2 linked regions of the Arabidopsis thaliana genome follow. The protein of the gene in region 2 interacts with the protein of the main gene of each other region in a pairwise test. Each region holds a gene or a part of one and is shown on either strand. Other genes may lie near its edges.

Evidence for each region.
Region 1: the proteins of AT1G26800 (region 2) and PTR1 interact in a protein complementation assay, tested with the Arabidopsis thaliana proteins (one large-scale study listed by BioGRID).

What each region holds. Positions count from the first base shown.
Region 1 is NC_003074.8:20,041,076-20,055,014, forward strand, and holds PTR1 (peptide transporter 1), read right to left. Parts: upstream 7,671-13,939; 5' UTR 7,373-7,670; intron 7,116-7,372; exon of another isoform or gene 7,084-7,115; 5' UTR 7,080-7,083; coding exon 6,974-7,079; intron 6,581-6,973; coding exon 6,363-6,580; intron 6,279-6,362; coding exon 5,725-6,278; intron 5,645-5,724; coding exon 4,810-5,644; 3' UTR 4,528-4,809; downstream 1-4,527. Other genes in the region: AT3G54120 (Reticulon family protein), read right to left, coding at 194-342, 430-641, 706-886, 989-1,058; AT3G54130 (Josephin family protein), read right to left, coding at 1,820-2,407, 3,100-3,354; AT3G54150 (S-adenosyl-L-methionine-dependent methyltransferases superfamily protein), read right to left, coding at 9,727-9,921, 10,067-10,693, 11,518-11,667; AT3G54160 (RNI-like superfamily protein), read left to right, coding at 12,393-13,244, 13,419-13,559, 13,641-13,939. UniProt on the Arabidopsis thaliana protein: Peptide transporter. Mediates the transport of di- and tripeptides. High affinity transporter with low selectivity. No transport of amino acids.
Region 2 is NC_003070.9:9,280,642-9,292,797, forward strand, and holds AT1G26800 (RING/U-box superfamily protein), read right to left. Parts: upstream 5,755-12,156; 5' UTR 5,550-5,754; coding exon 4,935-5,549; 3' UTR 4,384-4,934; downstream 1-4,383. Other genes in the region: AT1G26797 (Plant self-incompatibility protein S1 family), read left to right, coding at 345-767; AT1G26798 (Plant self-incompatibility protein S1 family), read left to right, coding at 1,159-1,614; AT1G26799 (Plant self-incompatibility protein S1 family), read left to right, coding at 3,284-3,739; GALT1 (galactosyltransferase1), read right to left, coding at 6,221-6,433, 6,524-6,631, 6,713-6,892, 6,984-7,112, 7,201-7,482, 7,576-7,811, 7,903-8,686; AT1G26815 (FBD domain family), read right to left, coding at 10,233-10,553; RNS3 (ribonuclease 3), read right to left, coding at 12,119-12,156. UniProt on the Arabidopsis thaliana protein: E3 ubiquitin-protein ligase involved in protein quality control (PQC) under proteotoxic stress. Is essential to plant survival under proteotoxic stress. Functions by removing damaged proteins before they form cytotoxic aggregates.

The sequences.
Region 1 (13,939 bases), on a different chromosome or scaffold from region 2:
TGGTCGAATATTGTTTTCGGAATAGAGATTCAGTTTTCGAGTAAAACTGTGAAATAAAATTTCTGTGGATTGCTCATATATTGGCTGTACCATCCAACATTTATCAAAAATCATACATTTTTCTCCTTTCTTTCCACAAAACCGAGAAAAATCAGAAAAAGAAACTCCTGAAGAAGAAAGAGGTGACAGCATCTCAGCTCAGTTTCTTATTTTCCGGATTAGCCCATATCTCGAGTCTAAGGTAAAGCTCTCTAGTTTTGTTGCAGATAAACTCAATAGAGCCAACAATGTAATCCTCATATCTCTCATAGAAAGCTGGAACCGTCATAACCACCAAAACGCCTGCCAAATTAACCAAGAACAACCACAAAATGAATATCCAGCTCAAAAGCATTCCAAGTCTATAGGAGTTTTAGAATATCTACTTACTGGTGTGGCAAAGTGTCTGAAAATCCATGAGACTTCCGATCAATGAGAGAAGAAACAGTGACACTGCTACTTTGGTATACAACTCTGAGTCTCTTGCCATTGCAATGTCATGCGAAACTTGGAGTAGCTTGTTCACATGAATACGTAACCATATCGAAGCTTCTTCCGCCATCGCTTCACTTATTTGAAACTCCGGTAACGGCGGTGATGGCCTGAAGAGCCAAGAAATTGAATCAGAAATGAAGTAATATTAGTTACAAGTGAATATTAATATACCTGTTGAGAATGGAAGCAGATTTGGACCAGAGGAAGAGAATAGAGAGCAAGAGAAGAAGAACACTTGAAATAAGAGTAAAGATAGTGTAAGCAAATGCCTCAAACACCATCCATGAAGCTATTGTCACTGTAACTATACCAACACTCACATTCTTCTTCCTCCACAGCATCACATCTGCAACTGCAGATTCATTTCATAACAAGAAAAAAAAAAGGCTATAGAGGTGAGAGATCACCTAGCTTTTATAAGTTTTGGATTTGGTAAAGAAATGTATTCACTAACCAATGCCTCCTCCCAGAATCTCATGTATTGTCCTGTCTCTGTTGAACAACTTGTCCGAAGAAGAACTCATTTGAGAAGAAAGATCAGAGCAAACTTGGATTCAGATTTCCTCAGATGATCAGATCCCAAAAGTAACCCAGATATGTATATCTTTCTCTGAATGTCAGAAACAGATCATTATGTGAAAGGAAATCCTAAAGGCTCGAATCGAAGGAACCTGATGTATCACAAAGAAAGTAAAAATAAAAAGTGAAGAAGAGACTAAAGTTGGGTCATCACCATCATCATCAAAGCCATCAACTTTGAATATACAAATAATTAATTAATAATTCAAAGGCTATGCTCTGTTTAGGGAAAAAGAAGGTGTTTGTTGTCCTCTCGATGTTTTTATTTCCAGCCTAAAAGTGTTATCCTTCTTGTTTTTTTCAAACTGTAAAAGTTCGCCAGATTGTACTTAGAGATGAATCAAATTTTACACCATCCTTTTATATTTTCCATAGAACACATTTAAATTGGTCATTCATCTACTTTTAGTCAACTGAAGTAATTTATGTACCCTTTTCAGATGTAGTTTCCTATGAATTCGAAAAGGTCGAATCTTTATCCTCAATTTAAGATTGTCAGAAGAATTTAATATGGTAAAAAAATCAAACAAAAACAATTCCACAAACCATTTATTATCCTCTGTTTTCTATCTTTCGATGTAAGCTTTTTTCTTTCTCTGTTCTGTATGTAAAATTGTTGATAACTCTTGATAACAAACCAAAACAAAGAAACAAAAGTGAATATCCCACCACCTCCATCAATAACACTTGTTCTCTATTTTCTCTGCTACTTTTGTTTCTCAGTTTCCTTTTCAGAAGTGCCCACAGCTCCGAGATTGGCCTCAGCAGCAGAAGCATCAAGCAAACTTGCTGCAATTGCTGCCTTCAAGTCATCATCTTCCATCTCTGAAAAAGCCTGCACTTCCTCACGTGACAATGCCTGATTCCGTCTTTGTTGATTAACATTGTCATTACTTCTCTTGTTTCTGGCAGAAGAACCTGAGCTCGTGTTCTTTCTTATTCTCTCTGCGTCTTCAGGAGAAAGCCACTGCCCGAAACTATTGGAAGCTTCAGAAGAAGACGACATGGGACATTCCTGAGGGAAGTTTCCTTTCACTATGAAGATACTCCATCCTGCGCCTTTGAGAGAGTCTAAGAACGCAGAAAGGTAGAACTTCGATAAATGTTGCGGGGCAGCAAGGAGACTATCAAAGTTATACCATTCGCCATTCACTTTCCTTATACAAAACCAATGGTCATGCAAGTGGCAGATAAAGGCGCTTTCAAGCTCAGGGTCTATCTGCGCAGGCTCTGCATCTGGACAATTGAGTGGAATTACTTGTAGATCCCACACTTCCAAAGCTTTTTGCAAGACCTGTCAATCAAACAGAAGCATTCTCAGTTAAACGAATAAGCAAAGACTAGATCAACTTTGCAAGATTAAAATGCTACACCAATCGCATAAACCCTCTGTTTGCAGTGTTTTATCCGCATCCAACTTCAACGTAATCCGTTAAAATAGCTTTAATTTTAGATATCTAAAAATGTGATGTAAAACACCATACTATACCCTTGAATCTCAATACATAAATCTTGCAATCAAACCTGACTTTTGTAGCAACCTAATCAAATATCAAGTTATCAACCAACTCGGTTTAAAGCTATCCAAGAAACAAAAGATGATAATTGAATATACAGAACCTCACTAATAACTAACATATCCAAAACAATTGAGTCCCAAGATAAAAAAAATCATCTCAAGTTCCTCCATTTATCAGCATAGCAATGTTCGCACAATGAAACTAGCCTTCAACAAATGAGTTTTAACCCAAAGTAAAGATCGCAAATTCACACCATTACTGATCTCAATTCTTCTTGAATCTATCTAAAAACGAATCCAACCATTCAAAAGTTTATCACTTCAGCATAAACACAGCAATCAAAAGCACCATAAAATCGAAACCCTAATTTTGCCTAAACTTCCAACAACACAATAACAAAAAGGCTTTACAATATATAAATGTTGAATGCAACTCAAGATTTATCAATTTCATCGCGAATTCGTACCTGGATACTAAAATCGCCGCCGAGGGAAACATTGTGCGACTCTTCAGCTAAGAAATCGCCGGGAGCAAAACCTCCAACGGCAGCACCTTCAAGCATAACCTGACGCTCCTTCCCGTCTAGATCGGCGGCGACGGCAGCCAAATCGAATTCAGAGAAGAAAGGCCCTTGCAACACCGTGTTGACGCAGTGTACGGCGCACAGATTTGACTCTTGAACCTCGTGATACAACATTCCTCCGTTGCTTGTTCGTTCCATCGCCGATTAAGATTTGAATATCAAAATTCACTGATTTTGCGATGAATATATTATTATTGCTCCGATGCAAAAGTCTCAAAGAGATTGTGAAGCGAAGATGAAGATGAAGATGAAGAAAGAAGAAGAAGAAGCAAGTTAACAGATTATTTAAATAAGAAAATGTAAGGGACGGAAAAGTAAATATACAATAAAAGGATGCCACGTGTAATAACCGACTTTCTAGGCCTTTTTCTTATTTTGCAGACGAGCCCGATACTGTTTTGAGATAGGCCCATTATCTCAAAATTGACAGACCAACTTAGGTTCCTTGCTTCCCAAGATTTCTGGTGATCTCTTTGATGGCGACTTCTGATAATGTGATGGGTATGATCGGGTTGGTTTATGCCTGCATTTCGTAATAACCACGTCTGAGAGCACTAATACAGAGTTAGGAATTATACTACTGAGAGCACTAGCAGCAATGTCCGTGAACAGTTTAAGAATTTAGATAAGTTAGTGACAGATTTAAAGAATGAGATTCTGTATAAGCTTTTACGCCCTCTGATTCTTTCATCAAGGTAATACATCTACTACTTCTACCTGTTTGTTCTAAACTCTTATTATGGTCTAAATTTTTCCTTCTTAGCCATATAATTGCAAGGCTAGAGTTGATTATACTTTGTTAAATGATTAGGTTTGGTTTCATTTCCAGATAGTCCTGCTGGCTATTTCCGCTTCCGCTCATTTAGTGACCAAACCTGGCTTCATCGCACCACCACATTCGTAAAATGACAAAAAAACTTTCTCTTTTTCTATGTGCATATAGTTGAGCTCAATAAAAAGCTTGTTTCTGACTATATATATATAAACCATGGGTTTTACTGAACAAATAAACCCCAGAATCAAAATCTGTTTTTGACGCTTGCTTGTCTCAATCTTGTTAGACAACCTCCAAGAAGCCAAGGGGGCTTCCTTATGCATCCTGATCTTGAGCATTTTCCAAACAGTTCAGATATATAGTCAAAAGTAAAGACATCTTCAAAGAAACAGAAGAAAATACTTGATCTCTTTGTTTAATGTCTAGTAGTAAGTTTACATATGTATTGACAATAGGATCCTATGTGCTTTGCTTTTTGTTAAGATTTCCCATGCTGTTGTTTAGTTTTTGATTTTATTTCCCAGCTTATTGCTTATAACTTCCAATGTATATAATAAGTTTCTTAAGAGCAATGGCAAAATATAGGAGGACATATTATCAGACGGTCAAAAAGCTTTAAGCAAAAAGCTCATAAAATAGTTACCAATAGCCTTTTACATATAAGTGGAAGACTGGAAGTATTCAGAAATACATAAGCAAAACCAAAACAAACCTAACACACCAACAACAACTAGACCACATACAAAAAACATTTACAAGCAAAACACTTTTCAAACAAATACTGTTAACTCCAAATATCTTCCACACCAGTTTCTTGATCAATGTGCTCGACCAACAGCTTTCTTGTATTTGTAGCGTTTTGAAATCCAGAGGTACACTAAGAAGTTGAGGAAACTGAGAGTTGCCAACAAGTAGAAAAAGTAATCAAGATGGCCTCGGTTCAAGTTATCCGGTATCCAACCCGGTTTACCGTTCTTCTTCGTTATCTTCATCACAACCGTCACAAGAACTGTGCTCAAATAGTTCCCCAACGCAACCGTGGTCAACGACAAAGCAGAGCAGAGACTTCTCATGGCATCAGGAGCCTGATCATAGAAAAACTCAAGCTGACCTATAAAGGTGAAAACTTCTGCACAACCGATAAGTAAATACTGCGGTATCTGCCAGAATATCGACATATGGATCTGTTTTTGGTCATATGCATTGTGAGTTTTGACATAATCAAGCCTGACAACCTCCAAGACTCCTGCAGTGATCATGGCAAAGATGGAGACCACAAGACCTATACCCATACGTTGAAGCTGAGTGAAGCCTCGTTCATTGCGTGTGAACTTTCTTGCCAGCGGGATAATGAACTGGTCATAGACAGGAGTCCAGAAGAGTACACTGACAGTGTCGAAAAGTGAGAGTGAAGCTGATGGGATTTCAAAGTTTTTTCCCATGTGTTGGTCCATTGTGTTTCCTTGTAACACAAACATTGTGCTCATTTGGCTGTACACTGTGGCGAAGACTATTCCTGTGGCCCAAACTGGAAGAAGTGTGATTATTGACTTAAGTTCTTCAACTTGAGTAACAGAACATAGTCTCCATGGATTGACTTCCCCGTCTTTGATGCTATCAGATTGACTCTCAACCGCTGCCTTGTCAAAAAACCTGAGATGTTTTCAAAACTTTAGATTTGAAAACAGAGTATTTTTGAAGTTAGGATAAAGATTCAAACTTTAGTTTCTTACTTTAAGTTATCTGTGTGCACAAGTTTCCGGCTACCTTTGATGTTACTCTCATCATCTGCAGTTTCAAAGAGCAGAGACTTGTCCTCTGGAACCTTAACACTTATCTTCCGAAAAGCCGCTACTATAACCTGAAAGATCCTAGTAAGTGGACTCCCTCCAGGTCTCTGAAGTCTGTAAAAACGGCTTCCGAAGAAGAAAAAGCAAACCGCGATAACCATCGCGACTGTTGGAACACCGAAACCCCATCCCCAACCAACATTCATTTGTATCCAGACGAGAACAGTTGCAGCAATGAGAGCTCCAACATTAATGGAGAAGTAAAACCAGTTGAAGAAAGAACTTTTCTTGATCTTCTCATTCTCATCATTCTCATCAAACTGATCAGCTCCAAAGGACGAAACACACGGCTTTATACCGCCAGTTCCAAGAGCAATCATATAAAGCGCGACAAAGAAAACAGCAGTCTGACTAGAATTTGGATGACAAGTATCAGCATTGCAGTTACCTGGTTTAAGTCCAGGAACTGAAGCTGATAATGTCAAAAGAGTCATACCCTTCAAGAGAAAAAACAAACTTAATTAGTTTTAACCAAAAGATTCACATTTTTAACCAAAAGATAAGAAACAAGTAAAACTCACGGAGACATAGATGAAAACAAAAGTTGCAATAGTCCAATATCGTCCAAGGTAAGCATCAGCTATAAAGGCTCCAATCAAAGGAGTTATATAACATGTTCCAGACCAATTCGTGACGTTATTTGCAGCCGTAGCATTGCCTTGATTCAGACGGCTCTCAAGATAATTCACAAGGTTAGTGCCCATGCCATAGTAGGCCAATCTTTCACAGCACTCATTTCCTACACAAAACACATAAAACTGGTTAATCTTATATGGATAGATCCAATCAGGGCCCAAGCTATATAATAAAAAAATATAATGGCCCTTTCTTTATTTAGACAATTTTTTTGAAGAAAACAGAGCAGATTTTAGGTTTATAACTCTTTTTTCATAGTGATCACCCTACAAAACTAAACATTTCCAATAATATTTTAAATTTTATTTGTTCTCTATCATTCAATTTGCTTTTAATCGTATATAATCTCTTTTTAATCATTACATTTATTATTTACATGTAAATGTTTTTAGTGGACCTTAAAAAACAGGGGACACGAGAGGCCATTACTTAAGCTGGTCCAGGTCCTATACGGCAATAATGAAGAAAAAGATTGGTGAAACGATTAGAACGTTACCGAGAATGAAGCGGCAAGCTTTCCAATTTCCGGTTTTCTCCTTGTTTGCAGGATTTTTGTGAATATCAACAGTTCCATCTTGCGTATACACATCTTTTTCTTCCATATTCCTAATAAAGAAAAATAGTTTAGCTTTTTCAAGAAAGATGTACCAAACACATACCTAAAGATCCCCAATTTAGAGATCCATACTTCAGGTATAAGGTTATGAGAAAACCCTTAAAAATATACGTGAAAGAAATTGACTAGTAGATGCTTAGATCGAAATATGCAGATGAAGCAAGCAAGTACGAAATTTTCATGCTCTGAAATTATAGTTTATGTGTGACCAGATGAGGTTATGGTTGTAACTTGTAACGAAAGGAAAACTCATAAAAGACTTAGAAAAAAGGGAGAAACCTTTGTCGGCGGCAGCTGAATCAGCGGCGGAGACGAGAGGCAAGAAGAGAAAAGAGTAGCCGAGGGCGAGGAATTACACGGCACTTGTCGGAGTAATAATGAGCATGAGCTTATAAAAAAGACTTGCAGAGCTCTGGTCCCGTACAGCTTTTATATCCAAGGAAATAGAAAGGAGCGTTGCTCACTTTTCTTCTCATGTTTGCAGTTTAACCCTTTGAGTTTTTGTATATTTCAGTTAGAGCCGCAAGGCCTATTGTGCTATCAGATTTTGATATTATCTTGTTTTGACTCCAAAGTGTAAATAGATCAATATCGAAGGACGTGTTAATCATCCACCAAAACTTTAGTGGACTCTTTTTGTTTTTTATCCGATATTACGGAATTGACATTACCAGAAAGATAACAAGAAAGAACTCCTACTCAAAACAAGAAAGATACAAGTGTGAATACAAACACTTTGGTCAATAAGATGATTTGGAGTTTTCTTATAAAATTGAGTTCATACTCTTTCTTTTTTTATTTGAAACTTGTGTTCATACTCTAAATATCAGATTGTCGATTTTGAAAAAAAAAAATAGTTAGGTTTATTAAATTTGGTTTTGGTTGATGTTTGATTTTGGATATGTGAAAATAAAGCCAAAAACATCACTAGATTCAATATTCAATTTGGTGGTTCAGTCTAAATCCATTTGATTAAATCTCTAATCACTCCCTCGATTAAAAACATTGTTTCAGCTTTAAGGTCTCAGTGGATCTTAAAATATAAACTAGGGTAGTGATATTAGAAAGATAATTAAAGGTGTTTGATTTGGTTATGCTAAAATAAGAGGTGCTAATGACAATTAGTAATAAAGTAACCGTTGATCTAAAGATTCACCGAGGACGAATATTAAAAGATGCATGTGAATCGACATATGTAGCTGGATCCTGTTTATCTACGAGGATTTGGCTGTTTATCGACTTAGTTGTTGGACTTGAACTCTTTACTCCAAAAGCCCAACAAACTAAAGAGACAAAACCAAAAGTAAAATTTGATGTTTATGAAGCTAAATTTGAAAAAGAAAATATATCTGACCAAATTTGATATTTATAAAGAAAACATATTTGATGTATTTAACAATTTTTAAATTGATGACGTTTAGTTGCAAACAAAATAAATAAATAAATAAAATAGGTAAAAAACAGTGTGCTTTGATTGCTTTTATTTCATTGGAAGTCTTACCACGGCTTCCATACTCTTGTAGTCAACTTTTCTTACATATTCGTCTAATCAGTTATACCAATATATACTTTTGAAGTACACTAACTAGTTTTTGTTTTTTTTGTTAAAACATTAACTAGTTGTTGGGATGTGACATCGAGACTATGATGTTTCAAGGTGGATTTTGTGCAACGTGAGTAAGTAATCTTTGATCAGTGGTTTGAACTTTGAACTAATCATTATATCATTTGACACATTTTAAAATCAAGAACTAATAATTAACTATAAAACTTCAACGTTGATATGAAAGGTTGTTGCGAGGTCCAACTTTAATAGAATAAGTACGAAAATTGTTGTCAGATCTAACTGAAAATATAAGTAAAAGATAACACTTGATAGATCCACAAATCAATGATGTGCAATTATATAGAAATTTGGATCACTCATATTTGATTATTATTTCACGGGAATCATAGTAGTTGACCTTTTGATTCTAGTCTAATCCATTGATTCTTCAAATCCAATTAAGAAAAACCAATTTGTGCTTCAATTCAAAGCATTCTTTTTTTTTTTTCTTTCTGAAATTAAGATCAATTCTCTAAGCTAGCTAAAACGTATACTTGAGAGCTGTTTGGGAAGATAACTCTCTAGAAAGAAAAGCTAAAAGGTAATCTAGGTATCATCACTATCGACGACAACTTTGTTTGCCATTAACTTTTTAAAAAGTTGTAACTAATCTCACAACAGATCAAACCTGAAATAAGCGTGTAGTTTTATTTTATTTTATCAAAAGGTTAGATAAATGAATTAAAAATTCCTTATTTTTGGGCGTCAAGAATTCACATCCACGAAAACATTATATTATGACCGCTAAAGAAAGGTTACATCTAGGCTTTTTTTTTTTTTTTTTTTTTTTTTGTTTTGTGTATGGTGAATGGAAACTCCAATTTTCATTTCTTTTCGCCACCAGATGTTTCCATTTTACATAAAGTCTTCAAAATTTTCTTTGGAACTCCCAAATCCAATAATTGACATACTCAACATGAACTTTATTACTCAGTTGTACAAAAACCAACGGCTTTAATACGGAATAATGAACTGATATCCAAATAAGAGTTATTGCTTTCTCAAATGGTTTAATATCTATTTTTGGTTAAAACCTGTAATGAGTACTAAAAACTGACGATGGTTTATCTTTGCATGCGTCATCTTCACTTGTATTTTGTTTCTTACTTTGTCTGTCTCCTTCATCGGATGGTTGTGGTCTTTTCTGGTTTCTCCCAACCTCCGTTTCAAGCAAGAGACGACCTTTGTTAGACAGTACTTGATCAGATTCGAATTTTTCTTCCTGTTCAAAGACAAATTGTACCAAAACCTAAGTAATAATAGTTGATATTTCCTTAACCAAAAAAAAACACTAGTTGTTATTTTAGTGTAAAAAATTAAGTATATTTTAACGTATTGAATGATTGCCTAAGATGTTGTAGTCATACCGGAATTTTTCCAACAATCATGTGAGCCTTGTAGAAAACATCTTTCACTTGGGTTTCATCACCCCAAGCCTCCTCAAATTTGGTTATTAGATCTTCATTTATAAGCTCTACTCCTTTTTCCTTAGCCTTCATCGCGGGCTGCCACGATCTCAAGAACCCTATAAACCCTTTAAGCGAAAGTTTATGCGGAATGTCTAGAGTAATAGGCTTTCCTTCGGAACCCATCCCTATGGTCTCAAAAGGAAATGTCAATGTCTTGTAACCGTCAAATGCTAAATTCATAATAGGAGTTCTAAAAGGTAGAGTAGAGTCGACAAGGCGCTTCATTATGGGATCGATCTCATGCGAGATAATGATATCGTTGTATACCCAAACGGCGATTAGGCCTCCTTCTTTACGAAGAACACGTTTTGCAACATTGTAAAATACGTTGAGGTCGAAGAAATGGACAGCTTGAGCAGCAACTATGAGATCCACGGAGTTTTCTCCCCCGAGTAGATCCACCATCTCATCTTCTGATATCGTTGTTGGAGTGTGATGGTAACTGATTCTTGAGTGTTTGATTGCTCGTTGAAGTTGTGCTTCGTTTATATCGGTAGCCACTACATTCTCGTAATGCTCCACAAGCTGTAAATTATAGATTTCATGGTATTGTCAAGCTTAGTTCACCTACTATATTCTATATGTGCATGCATAAACATCAATAGGCAATCTGCAAGAGGCGAGTTCACTTAACTTATTTTGACAACATATATTTCAGTTTATAACTTGAGTGGTGACGACAGTAATACTTATCACTAGGTTGCAAGTCTTGAACAAATTCACTTACTATACATTATATATGTATGATATACCCACAATTCCACATGCATGGTCTCATTTACCGTTGATGAAATATTAATGTTTTGTGAATCTAGTAAAACAAAACAACATCTAAGCTCAGTTTTGTCTTTAATTTACATTTTCTTCCAAATCAGTCTAAGCTCATTTGCTAAAGACTATATAAGTTACGTAACTTCATTTTTCCTACCTCTTTTTGATGTAAATATTTTTTTAAACATTATTTTAGGTTAAAAATATCTATAAAAAATTATGCATATATTAAATACGTAATAAAACAGCAAAGATCGTTGACTAAAAAGATAAAAATAACAAGATCAAGAGGCTGAATAACAACAATCAAATTTGCCGCAACCAAGTTTGACTAATCTTTAGAATGATAGACATGATCACATGATGATTCACTGAAAGAGGCCCTCCTAAGTAAATTAGCTACCTTGTTGCTAGATATTTATCAGCAAATCTCAGTATCACAAATCATACTAACTAGAACTTCATACTAAAGGAAAAAAAAAAAAAGAAAAAAAAATAAAAAAGAACTTCATACTAAATGAAGGTTTTCAGATTTTCCCAAATCTAAATTAGAAGATATATAGTATTATAAAGCTTACCCCAATAGCAGCCTGACCATTACCAGTTCCAACATCCCAAGCAAATTTGTGGTCCTGTGTCCGTGCGGCAATTTTCTTAAACCAATCGATCGGATATCTAGGCCTTGCGTCGAGATAAGCTTCAGCCTCTTTCTCTGATAAGGCAGCCATTTTCTTCTACGTACCTCTCTCGTTTTCTTTCCTTGGTTTGAATACACAACTAATTCGTTTTCTATTTAAACTCTCTCGAGTCTTGAATAGTCTTGTTTCTATTAATATATTATGAAAAAGTTTAACCAAGTCCAACTTGGCGTGAGGTAAAGTTTCACTGCAAGTCCTTCCTAAGACGTCGTTTAAGACTTTTTTGTTTTAATATATTTTTTGTCGAAGACAAAATAGTCAGTATATAGTTGTAAACCAATATGCAGGCAATGCAAGTTTCCACGAAATGGTAGAGAAAAAAATGATTTAGTTATAATCAATTTTCTTTCAATCTCGAAAAAGGAAAATTGTACATATAATCTGTGTTTTATCTGTATTAGTGTTAGGCCCAAGTTCATTAGCTGAAGTTTCAAGTCATAATGGGCTCAATTTTGGGCTTATCTCTTGGGTTTAGTTTTTACAAGATAAAGTTGATAAAGTGAAGACTAAAATGAGGAAAAGAGAGGGTCTCGAGCGCTTTTTACTCTTTCTTCTTCACGAGAGCAGTGTCGTTGCTCTGATCTTGTAACTGTAACTCCGGCGGATTTTGCCGTTTATACTGGATTTTTCCGGTGTAGTATGTGATTCCTCCGATATAGACGCTAAAATCACTGTTCACCGTGAAACTCGTACATCAAATTTCGTCAATTGCGTTTCTTTATCGCTTTTGAGTTTCGACTACAATTCATGAAACCATGAGTGAGATCGTGAGAGTTCAAGAGATCGTTTCTAAACTCTGGAACCTAAACATAGCCTCCAAAAAATCCCCGAATCTGGTTACGATCATATCGAATGTTGGTTATAATCCTTCGTTTGAAACTAATGGAAGCTTCAAAGATTTCGTTTCTCGATTACTAGCTCGACGTGACAGTTACCGTATAAGGAGATTCTCTTTGAAACTACGTTCTTTGGAATTTGATTCAGCTAAGTACCATCTTGTCAACGAATGTCTACGCAATGTGTTGAATCGAGGTGTTTTGGATCTTGAATTGGACATCAATGTCAATGAAGTTTACAAATTGCCATTTGAGGTCTTCACTTGCAAGAAAGTTGTGAAATTGAAACTAGGTTCTGATTTTGTTATTGACAATATCCCTAAGAACGCTTTGCTTCCAGCTCTTAAGACTCTCTTTCTTGATAAAGTTCGGTTCATTGATAAAAGTGGTGGTTGTGCGTTTACAAGGCTTGTTTCTGCTTGCCCTGTGCTAGAGGATTTAGTGATATATAGGAACAACCGTGAAGATTGGGAATGGTCTCGCATTGTGTCTAGTAAGATCCTTAAGAAACTTACTATTCGGCGTGAAGACTGGGAAGATCTTGATGGCTCTAGTTATGAGTCAATTAGTTTTGATACTCCGAGTCTTGAATACTTCGAATACTTTGATGTTCTCCGAGATGGGTATCCAGTTGTTGATCTCAAGTCCCTTGTTGAAGCTAAGCTAGAACTTCCTCTTTTTATGGTTGGCGATACCTACGATGTTAAGAATCTGATTAAGGGCTTAGAAAATGTTCAGATTCTGAGCTTAGGCGTTGTTGACACGATGCAGGTAAGTGATCGCTATTGTTTCTCTTTAATATGTTACTGTAGCTTAACAACTAGTAGAGCATGAGGAAATTTAAATCTAGGAACCATTGAGATACTAAGATCATATCAATCTTGCTAGTGATTAGAATGTTTGCTCAAGTAATGACTGACTTAGTTGTTTTTAATTCTGTTTCAGGTGTTTTGTTTCTTCGAAGAAGCAGTACCAGTGTTTGAAAACCTGTTTCATTTATCACTTAGCACTGAAGTAGATTTCTGTTGGAATGTTCTACCAATTCTGCTTGAGAAATCTCCAAATCTAAAGACTCTCACCATTCAGGTATGACCTAAGACCCCCAAAAGTATATTGGACAAACTAAAGAGTCAAAATCTTCAATCTCAAAATTCCTGTCTTTTCTAGGCTTTGCATTATACTACTAATCACTATGGGGATGAGAACACTGTTTGCGATTGTTTGGAGGTGTATTCTTTCTTATCGTCCTGCCATATTGAGGTTCTAAAGATAACCCAGTTCAAGGGAGATATCGGAGAGATGGTGCAAATAAAGCATATCTTGGAGAAATTGCCGAGTCTTGAGCTGTTGGAAATTCATGGTCAGGTAAAAGGAGATGACAAAAAGCTGCAGATCATGTTGGATCTCCTAATGTTCGAAAGAGCTTCGTCTGAATGCAAAGTCGAGGTCAAGTTTCCAGTTTGTTT
Region 2 (12,156 bases):
TGAGATATTTAACCTTCTACTTCCCAAAAGTAAATTAGATGAGATATTTTATTTTGTATGCTAGCAACTACCAATAGACATGTTTACTTGAAAATACATAATTAATTATAAGCTATATAATCTACAGATTTTCACTTCTTTTTGTTTAATTGACAAATTTACATCCTTTTAAATATGACTGGATATGGTATATTAAATGTTTTTGTCAAGGAAATAACAAAGAAGGTAATAGTTGACAAAAAAAATTAATTCATAAATACCACTTCACAGAAAATCAAAGTATATATATTACAAACGAGCAAAATACATCCATGGCTTCCTCAACAAATCACCAATTCATTTCCATGCTAATCACAGTTCTAGTTATCTTCAAAACATCGTTAGCGTTTGAAAACTTTTCATCTGTCGATGGTAATTTCCCGTTCTCACCTAAACATGTTATAATCATCAACACTTTGCACCCACATGGAAAATTATACGTGCACTGTAGGAATAAAGGGGAAGATTTAGGGCTTCATAAGATAGAATATCGAGAACAAATAGATTTCAGGTTTCGTGTCAATCTACGCAGAACAACAACATACACTTGTAAATTCTCGTGGCCAGGAAATGAAAAGACGTTCGATATTTTTAGAGCGGATAGAGACGATAGTTCAAAAAGTACAAGTGGAATATGTAGAGAATGTATTTGGTATATTTGTGAGACAGGTCCATGTCGTGCTAGACGCGATGGAGGGGATCCATTCTGTTTTTCATGGACATCTTAGAGATTGACTGGTATATCAGATTAACAGATGAAAAGACAAATTATGAAATATCGGAATCAATAAAAAGATGGCACTTTTAAATTGAATATATATGTTTTTTTTTCAAATGCCAAAAATTAATATTTAGTAGATGAATAAAGTGTCTTTAGTTTAGTTATAATTTCAAAACCTTTACTTGAAAATACATCATTATAAGCTTTATTATCTACAGATTTTCACATCTTTTTGTTTAATTGACAAATTTCACATCATTTTAAATATGACTAATTATATGGTATATTAAATGTTTTGTCAAGGAAATAACAAGAAGATAATAGTTCACAATTTTTTTAATTCATAAATACTACTTCACAGAAAATCCAAGTATATTAAAAACCAGCAAAATACATCCATGGCTTCCTTAACAAATCACCAATTCATTTCCGTGCTAATCACAACTCTAGTTATCTTCAAAACGTCATTAGCGTTTGAAAACTATACATCTGTCGATGTTGATCTTCCGTTTGCACCTAAACATGTTATAATCATCAACACATTGAACCCACATGAAAGATTGGTCGTGCACTGTAGGAATAAAGGGAAAGATCTAGGGGTTCATGCGTTAGAACCTCAAGAACAAATAGATTTCAGGTTTCGGGTCAATCTACGCAGAACAACAACATACACTTGTACATTCTCGTGGCCAGGAAATGCAAAGACATTTGATATTTTTAGAGTAGATAGAGACGATAATTCAAAAAGTACATGTGGAATATGTAGAGAATGTATTTGGTATATTTGTGAGACAGGTCCATGTCGTGCTAGACGCGATGGAGGGGCTCCTTTCTGTTTTTCATGGACATCTTAGAGATTGAATGGTATATCATATTAACAGATGAATAGACCAATTGTGAAATATCGGAATCAATAGAATAACGACACTTTTAAATTGAAGAGAAATGTTTTTTTTTTCCAAATGCCAAAAAACTAGTATTAGATAGATGAATAAAGCTAAGTTTGTTTAGTTTGGTTATAATTTCAAAACATGCAAGAAAAATTAAATAACCACGTGTTATTTTTATGTTTTATCATTGATCACAGTTTTATGAATAATAACTAAGTACTCATCAGAATTGTTGAAAACGTGAAAAAACTGCATACCAATCAAGCTCTTAATCATCGTAGAATATTTCTGGTATTTTTCTTTCATTTCGTTGTATCCGAATAGTATTAAATAGACAAATAAGCTGTTTGAAATTGTTGTTACATATTTTTCACTATTTGTCACTAAAACCTATATAAGCCTATTTACATCCCCATGCAATTTCATATACGTATGTTTTATATTCTCTCTAAATCCAAGACGGGCTTTGATTATTCTACAGCAAAGTATTTGAGTGTCTCTTTCCATTTCTCTTACTTTATCAGTTGTATACTTGTATAGTATAAAGGACTCTAACCCGAGGTTGAGATGGAACTGTGAGCTTCATCCATCTACTTTGTCCTTTGCAAACCAAATAGTCACCAAATCATGTGTGTTTGTGTGTAATTTTGTTTTGCTTTGTGTGCTTGTATATTATGAAACATATCATATAGCGTTTTATTTTATTTAAACCAATAATTTTTTGAAGTAAAATTATTATTACATATACATTAATTGATATGAAACATACATAAGTTGTATAAATATATTAGATATTATTTTATAATTTTAACAGAAAACAAAATTGGAATTTTCTGATTAAATTTAATTCTTATTATATTTTTAGAATTTTCTGAATATTTAAAATTTAACTAAGTTTAATTGATATTATATTTTTGGGAATAATTTAAATTATAAATGTATTGGTAAAATCTGATTAGAAATATGATGAAAATAGATAATCCTATTTATTGTGAATATTTATTTTTAGATTTAAATATATAAAAGTAATAGAGGAAAGATGTCAAGATTATGAAGCTCCCAAATCTTAATTTTTTGTATATATTCAATTTTCCATATTAAATCTCTTTAGTTAGGTTGTTTTAATTGAAATTTTGTTTTTAATTATTTACTATATTTTTAATTGGAAATTGCTTTTTTTTTTTATGTTGTTGGAATATTTATATATAATATTAATGACAATTTTTGTAAATAATCTAGTAAATGATGAACAACGAATTAAGTTGGTTGAGAATTGCTCTGCTTGCGTCACGTCAGCATGATATCTCTGTAAATACTACAGTAGCTAAAGGTTATTTTCTTAAGTATGTTTCTTAATTAATATATAGGGGATAGAGAGATCTTATCATTTTTTCACACTTTAAAAAATATTAATTAATTAAAGAACAATAAAGATAACTAATTATTAGTTAGATTATTTTTAAAGAACAATAGACCTTTTTTTTTTTGGTAGGGAAAGAACAATAGATTTTAACTTCCTTTCTCCCCTCCTAATGAGTAATTAAATGATATATAATCAATTTTTCCCATCTACATATAAATACTACTTTCGAAACAAGGAAAAATATTGTGTCACAAACCAGTAAACCCTTCCATGGCTTCCTCAACAAATAACCACTTCACTTCCGTGCTTCTCTCATTTTTATTTATCCTAAAAAAGTTGTCATCTTTGGGAAATCATTCGTCCAACGATGGAATTTTGCTATTTTCACCTAAACATGTCGTGATCTACAACACATTGACCTCACGTGCAACATTGGTCGTACATTGTGTGAATAAAGAGAAAGATTTGGGGATACAAAAGCTCCCAATCGGAGCTAGTTTCGATTTCAGGTTTCGTGTCAATCTTCGTAAAACAACAACGTATAATTGCACTTTCGAGTGGCCCGGAAGTATAGAGAAATTTGATATTTTTAGGGCAGACAGAGACGACAATGAAACAAGTCCTATTGGGATATGTAGAGAATGTATATGGTACATTTATGAACCAGCCCCTTGTCGTGAAAAACGTGACGGAGGCCATTCTATATGCTTTACATGGGATCGATAGAGGCTCTTTTATATATATTTTATGGGATTTTAATTGCTTTACAGTGTGACAAAAAAAAAAAAAAAAAATTGCTTTACAGTATTTGTTGCATCTTATTTTCCTTCTCGTGGTTTATAATGGTAATAAAATAAGCATATTTAAGGGTTACTATATCTTGTGAATTGTGATCATAGACTAAATTTCTTATACACCTACAACATTTTTAATCTCTTGGTTACAAATGTTTGTTGGCGTTTTATTACATGCTATGATATAGTGTAGGGAAATTCAAAGAAATGCAGAGAAGTATGGAAATGGAGTTGTCGAGATAATTAAGGAGAAGTAATGAGCTTGATAAACTTCAGTCTATTATAATTTTCATGGAAACTTTTTGTTTTGACATTATTGGATCATATTCTGTCTAACCCCACTTCAGGTCAAAGAAGAAAGCGTTTACACAAAACTTCCAAAAATATAGAAAAAATATGTATTCAAAAAGTTGTGTGAAATCCGGAAGTACTCGAGGAAAGGGAAACAAATATTGTATGTAGTCAAATACTAAAACGTAAAATGAGAAAAAGGTAAATAAATAAAAGAAAAAGAAAGAGGAAAGAGTCAAGAGAGCATATATTCCCAACTAATGTTTCCAGTTATGTTGTGAGAATAAGATTTGAAGAACAAGCGTAAAAGCAAACTCCAACAACTACATGTTTTTAATCTCCATATCTGTGCAACAATCGTGAAAATAAAATCCTTCTTTTTAATCTTTATTGTGGCCAGAGTAATGTTTTTGCGTTTGGGATCATTCTTGATTGTTACTACAGAACATGGTAAATGATAAGAACCATAAGTCAAAGGAATCTAAGGAGAGATTGAAATGGAGTTGTGAGCTTCAAAACAGATTCATCGATGCTGTTAATCAACTTGGTGGGCCAGAAAGTTCGTCTCTATCTTCTTTGTCCTTCTGAAAACTCTTAATCAAGGAATCAAGAAGTGTTTGTGGTTTGGTCTTATGCACATTTCTTGATTGTTTTTTCATTTTTTTCTCTTTGTTATGTGTGATATCAGAAGTGATGCCTCAGGGTTTGATGAGGATTATGGAGATTCCTGAGCTTACTTTGTACCATCTTAAGACAAAAAAAGTTCATCAACCTTTTCCCAGAACAAGAACAAAAAAAGGCACAAGTTTTTTTTACAAAAGCTTCTTATGTAAATCCTAATTCTCGGACTCAACACCATCACTGTTTCCACCGTCCTGCGCAGAAAAATCTCTAATTCTCCGACCATCGTTGAAACTGAACCTAACCCAAATCTCATTCCCATCGTTTCTTTTCTTCCCAATCTCATCTCCATCAACAGGCATCTCGTACCTACAAACAGGACACGACCCATGAAACCCTAACCATTTCTCTATACATCCACCGTGAAACCTATGCTTACACGGCATCTCCTTCACCGTCTCCTCGGACTTCCACTCCTCCAAACAGATCACACACTCTCCTTCACAGCCATCAATCTCAACGATCGGCATCGCATCGATGGAAGCCTTGGACGCAGGAGGACGACCTTCCTCACGTGACTCCAGTAAGCTACGAAGCAGAGGATTCATTCCTGATGAGCCTTCGAGCACAATCATTCCTTGTGTAAAAGGGTTGACTAAAATGATTCTCTCACGCGATGAAGCAACATCATCATCATCTCCGTTTGATGATTCTTGATCAGAGAAGCCTAAGAGAAAAGGCAAGAAGAGATATAAATCTCTGTTCCTCAAAAACCTTCCGGAAACAGAGGATGTCTCTGTTCCAACTTCAGCTTCTTGTTCTGTCGCCATCGCAAACAAACTATTGTTTTGAAGAAATTGGTCGTTTCAAGATTTAAGGGAGTTGCGTATGAATGTTGTGGAAAGATCTAGAAATTATTAACGCAGAAGACTTTTCTTCCCATGGGCCTAAAATAAATTAAGTTGAAGACAATGATTGATGTTATCGATATGCTTATCCATTAGCAAATATCTATGTTATATTTTTCTCTGACTCAACGTTATGATTTGTCTAAACTCTCCTCATTCCAGAGAGTTATACTTCAAGACGACGAAGGGTGTTTTTGGGAATTTTGAAGGCTGTTGCACATATTTATATGCATGATGGTGGATAAGAAGAAAAGAAAAAGTTCCACTGGTTTCGGATCTTTACTTGAAGTGACACGATTCACTCCCTAGTGGATTACACGTAAACATTTGTGAAGAGTAAGCAATGACAATTGATTCATATCAAATTCTCAAAAGATAAAATATGCTCCTATTGTTATTTATCAGTTGAAAGTTTTAGTACATCTTTGTAATATACACACGTAAAAGTAAAACTAAACTGCAAATCTAGTCTACTTGTACAACAAACAAACAAAATCAAATATTTTGTGACCAAAGAATGAACTCTTTTCTTATGTACCTGTGGAAGGACACGTGAACCAAAACGCAATGGTTGAAATATGTGCGTTCACGTTTTACCATTCGCGGCAGCAAAGAGAGCGTTTGGTTTCTTGGTATTTACGCCAAAGGCAAGTCATTTCGGCAGGGCTTTGGTAATGAGCAACCACATAACCATCCTTGCATCCATCACTAATGATCCTTCCATCGTTTTCGTAATGAGGCTCGAGTCCATGTTTTGTCAGCTCAGCTATCCATATCCCCATTGCCACATCTTCTAGCTTAAACATCTATTCACAAATTTCAAAAATTTTCACAATCCATTTCTATGTGAATCCGGAAATGTGATTGAATGGAGTTAGCATAGAGTAGTACAATACCTTTAGGTTTCCTTCTTTGAAAAGCTTACCAACCGATTCTGCTATGTCACGAGATACAATGTAGCCTGGACCATGCGCCCATGGTGGATATTTCTCTTCAGGCCATTCCTGTTTTTTGAGTAGAAACTTCGTTAAATGAATCAGAAATCAGTCTATTTGCAAACATAGCTATGTCAGATTGTGTTGTACCTCATAACTGATGTACCATTTGCTATCAGGGTTTCGAATAGGTTGAGAGTCGGAATTGATCAGTCCGTATATTAACCCGCGAGTGTTGTTGGTCATTGATAAAGAAAGTAACACTTCATCTACACGAACAAAGGCGTCATCATCCGTTTTCATGATGAACTTGGCTGAGTCAACCTCTGTCTGTTTAAAATATGACGTTAGTGAGGCAAAACAGTAAAGACTACTCAACTGTGGCTAGGAAGAAACATGACAAAGACAACTATATTATTACCCCGAAGATGCAGATGGCTAGTGTTTTCCAACTGATGAGACTGTAATAATCAACAAAGGGCATTAGCTGAACATCACCGTAAGTCCGAGCCTCGTTCCAGAGTTCCAAGTTAACAAGAGGACTTTTGTGCTGCATTACCAACCACAAAGAAAATCATCATTTAGAATTATGCAATTCCAACATACTCCTGATATTTTCAGAGAGGGAGAAAGCTTACAAGGCCAACAAAAAAGCGTACTGCAACTCTTCCAGATCTTACATCATCATACTGCATCCATGTTCTCCTCACAGCCATCCGTCTTTTAAAATTGTTTGCAGTGGAGAAAACACCAATAACGAGATCCAGTGGCCTTAATGGTGAAAGGGTAGGTGATTTTAGTGCCTCTAGATCAACAACGTGCTCTGATTCTTCTGATGTGGGCAAACCGCTGGCAAGAATGGATATTAACCTAAAGTCACCTGTAATCCGTATTTCACTAACAAGCCACGGTTCCAGTGTCTGAAAGACGAAGAACCCATATGAGACACTAAACATTTGATGGAAAATTGCTAAGAGCAGTAGAAAAATATATAAGAAGAGTGATGATATTACATCGCGGAAAGCAAATGAAGTTATATGTTTCCCATCAACTGTCATCTGCATTCCCTCTGTTCCCACCCTAAGTGTAGCAACCGATAAGAAACCCTGCTTGAAAGGAAAGTATTTTTCATGTTTAGATGCTTCCCTGGCTACTGGAACTCCCCTTGAAGTGTTGGACTGCAAGCTAGTTGAAGAAGTTCGGTTAATTTCTCCACCAACCATCTTGTTGCATTCATCCAAGTCATCCACTGTGTATTATAATCATGTCAACACAGACTTATTCATGGAGGATCAAGTGACTACATTTATGTAAGCGGGTGAAACTATACTTGCATTCACCTTTCTTATTCATATCAGGATCAAATTTTGGACAGCGTTCCTCAGCTCCCCAGTCCTGAGATGCCGTCCAGCTGTTTTGAACAATCACAGGGTCTTCCGTCGATTTGTCACCAAGAAGCCTAACATTATAATGCACAATGATGGGTGGATCAGGCTCCCCTGGAAGCGGTTGTCCCGTTAGATCAATCCGAAAACTACCAACAAGACCATCTGGGATGCCAATAACTGTGATGGAGGAACCCTGAGTCAAACCACAAGGAATTTGCAACTTCAGACTACTCCCATCAGCTTCAGTAGCATTCATTTTGCTTAGAAACTGAGGACAAAGCTCCTCTTTTCCTTTCCTCGTCTGATTTTCATTAACATCAACTAGTTTCTTAGCTTCAACAGCAGACACAAGACTCTCCCAAACAATGCCAGCTTCCTTAATAGCATCAACTCCATTAACTAAACTCTGTGCATTATCAACAAGACTTTCCAAACGGTTCCAAGTAAGCAAAGGCTCTCTCTCTTCTTTAGACACATTCTGCTCAACAAACAAACCCGAGACAACAGCGATATCATCACCAGATATCGCTTCTTGAGTATTCCTCGCTTCTTTCATAAAGTCAGGGAGAGTAATCCGCAGCCATTCCATAGGAAGAGTGGTGTTAGGAGTAACAACAACAGAAGCAGCAGCAGTAATATAAGGCTTTTCAACAGGAGTGTTCAAGTCTACATATCTATACACCGTCAAGAACATACACATTGATACAACAAGAAGCCCTCCATAAAATCTCTTCATTTTTCACAGCCGAAAATCACTCAAACGAGAAATCGCGCGGCGAGATCATCAATATTCAATCTTACAGTACAATGTAGCTATTTTTTAACTTCAATCAATCCCTGAAACACAAAAAAAAAAGTTATGGTTTTTAATCAACATAAGTCATTTTCAAATTTAAGTATAGATTCAGCAGAACCATGATAATGTTAGATTCACGAACTTTATACTAAATATTAACAAGATCCAAAAATATCATCAAAGCTTAACAATAAGAAGAAGAAAAAAAATCAGATTTTTATCAGTTAAGTCTGAGAAAATTGAAATTCAACAAAATCACAATAGACTAGTTAAAATCACTAGAGACTAAAAAATCAGAAGTGCCCAGAATTGTTCTCACTTCATAGAAGAACTTACTAAACCAACTATATAAGAAAATCAAACACAGAGCAAAAATTGAAAATCTGCTTACAGGCCAAAGGGAAGCAAAATTAAGCAATGTCTGTTCCGGAATCAGAATCCGGTACACCGGCAAACAGAGAAGTAGAGACGGAAAGATTTGCTGATTGAAATGGGATTCAGATCTCCGAGGCTTTACTAGTTCGCTGCTCTTTGTCGTAGTATCGAAGCACCTTCCACCAGCAGAGAAAGCGAAGGTGGTTTCATGTTTCTTTCTATTTTTTTTTAACTGTAAAACAAGAACGAAAATTGTAAAAACTGTAGAGGTAAAAAACAAAACTGTAAAGTGAAGAAAAGTTACCGATAGTTCTTTAGCTATTTTCATACAAAATTATACACAAGGTACTCTAAGAAAATACACAGAAATAGTTTCTAACTTAATTCAATACTAATTTAGTAATTTACGACAAAAAAAAAAAAAAAAGTAATTTTAATTACAACCGTAGTTTTAAAAGATTACATTTATATTTTGATTTCCTCTGTTTGCATGCTTTGGAAGAAGATAAAAAAAAAAAAAAAGTATCACTTGATCACTAAAGTTTTTTGGTTGAGTCTATGACTAAATTACTAAACACATATAAACGAGATCTTTGAATTATCAAGATTTGACAATTATGCCTAATCACTGATATTTTTGATGACCCTCTAGAAACATCATTTTTAAATAAACAAAGTTACATTTGATTGCAAAAAGTAAAATAAAGTAACTGGTAAAAAAAAAACAGTAAGTAAAAGTTGGCAAACGAAACTTGAAGGGGTAAAAACAAGTTCCCAAGTCGTGATAGCGAGAGATATGAGGGTGCTTTCATTTGTAACGCACCACCATACAATATACATACACATGCCAGTCATAATTAACGTCTCAATATATTGATTCCCATTTTTTGCTTTTATGTGCTTTTTTCTTTTGCTGGTTGAATCGTAGGGAGACAAACAAAATTGGACTGAAATGTTCACGTTGTTTTTTTTGTTTTGTTTAATTCACATAAGAGACTCAAAACAACCTACTCATGATGACTTTGCAAGCACACAGTCTTTGTTAAACTTACTCATGATGAAAAAATCTAGCCTTGTTGTACGTATATGCTTAAAAAAAAATTCATCTCGACTAGTAAAAAGTTGGCTGAATTAGAGTTTTCGAGTTAATAAGGCAAAAAAATTGCAATCTGTAAACGACAGCTTGAGTAGTTATAGCATATACTGTATATGACAATATATATAATGAAAAAGTTGTTTCATTGAACTCCCATTCCATTTGGATGGGGAATAGAAGCCTAGATAATGTTGAAATCCTAGGCATGGTAACTAACTCCTTTTGCCTCTCCTTAAGATTGAAGGCTGCTATGAGGGAGATTTCCACTGTCTTTAAACACTTTGAGTTTGCGAGAATGTATGTCACTAAATTGTTTCTCATCTTCTCTTCTTCCATTGTCTTTCCAACCAAAGATCTCTAGATGAGTTGACAGGCATGTGGGAATAGAACTCGACTGGTTCCAGGAAGGTTGGAGACCCTCGAAGTCCTGGTATCAGTACAGTTTATTATAATGTTGAGTTCATCAAAATTAGATGGATGCGCTTGTTACCGTGTTTTCGTTGATCATAAGAGTTTTCAGTTTTAGAGAATTTTGAAGCAAAAACATAAGTGGTTCTAACCAGTCTACGGAATTTTGTGTTTGAAAATAAAACGTTATGAGCAGAGAGAAGTTAATGGCGCTACAACACGCGACTTATGATAGAGGAAAACGAAGATTAGTTGAAGAAACAACAAGGAATACGAGAGAGAGAGAGATATATAAAATGGCTACCATTGATTTGGTCAAGCGCAAATCCATACATCAGAAGAAAGAGATCTAAGAAACTTGGTATCGGGATTAGGAACAAAGCCAGTGTCTGCCACATCAAGGCAAGACATATTCTCTATCAAGCAATAGTCTTCCCAAACGTCAACTAAGTCCACATCTGTTAATGAAGGGCAATCTATTACCAACGATCCATTGTGATCAATGATCATCATCCTCTACCTGATCAACCTAATTATCCTCTTCCTCACCAACCGATCATTATCCTCTTCTTCATCAACCTTTACCTCATCTTTATCCTATATATCGTTGAGTCTATATTTTACTGATTTTTGATAGCTCAACATCATTCTCTTATGTACATGTTATAACAAAAACAAATGGCTCACGATATTGCTAAAGAGTAAAAAAAAAATGTTCAACCGCTTATGCATGAAATGCATTGTGCTTAATCAAAACATGGCTTTTAACAGTAATCAAAACATGGTTTTAATGACCCGTCTCCATGGAGCGGTGGTTACCGAAGCTTCCTCAGCCTTCTATCTACAAACCCACCCAACTTTAGACCCGTCGTCACCCATCTCCTTGCAGATAAACACCTCAAGCTCGCCCTTCTCGTGCGGGCGAGAACCTCAGTCTTGGAATCTTCATACTATAGAAAATGATAAAGATTTGGCCCTACAATATTTTTTTTCTTCACGCAAAATTCATGGTGTTTGCTAATGTCAGTTACTTTAGAAAAATGATGCTATCTTTAACCTAAGATGTCCGGGGAAAAAAAATGAATAGTACAATATGTAATGGATCTAATAAGCTAGGCCAATGATGCATGTTGTGCCCGCAGTATTTCGATGCAAGGAAATTGGATCCTTCAATAGATATCATGCATGAACAGGCTAGGTACACATGAATGTATTCTATGTTCACAAAACATTAATTTAACTGGTATAAATTATACATGCCTTGAATTTCAGCAAGGAACTACCAGAACAATTTTCTCACCATAACATTGTAAGAGAACTGTAAATTAGTATTTTAACTAGAAACAAATTAGTAACCTTTATCATCTTTTTACCATGCAAATCACGGGTATCGTCCAATTATACACTGTTTATTACAACTAAATTTTGCAAGAAACACAAATAAAAATTAATAGGTAGAATGTAAATACATAGAAAAAATGTAGCCATAAAATTTAGAACTTGGGAAATTGAACTCGAGAGTCGCATCGAC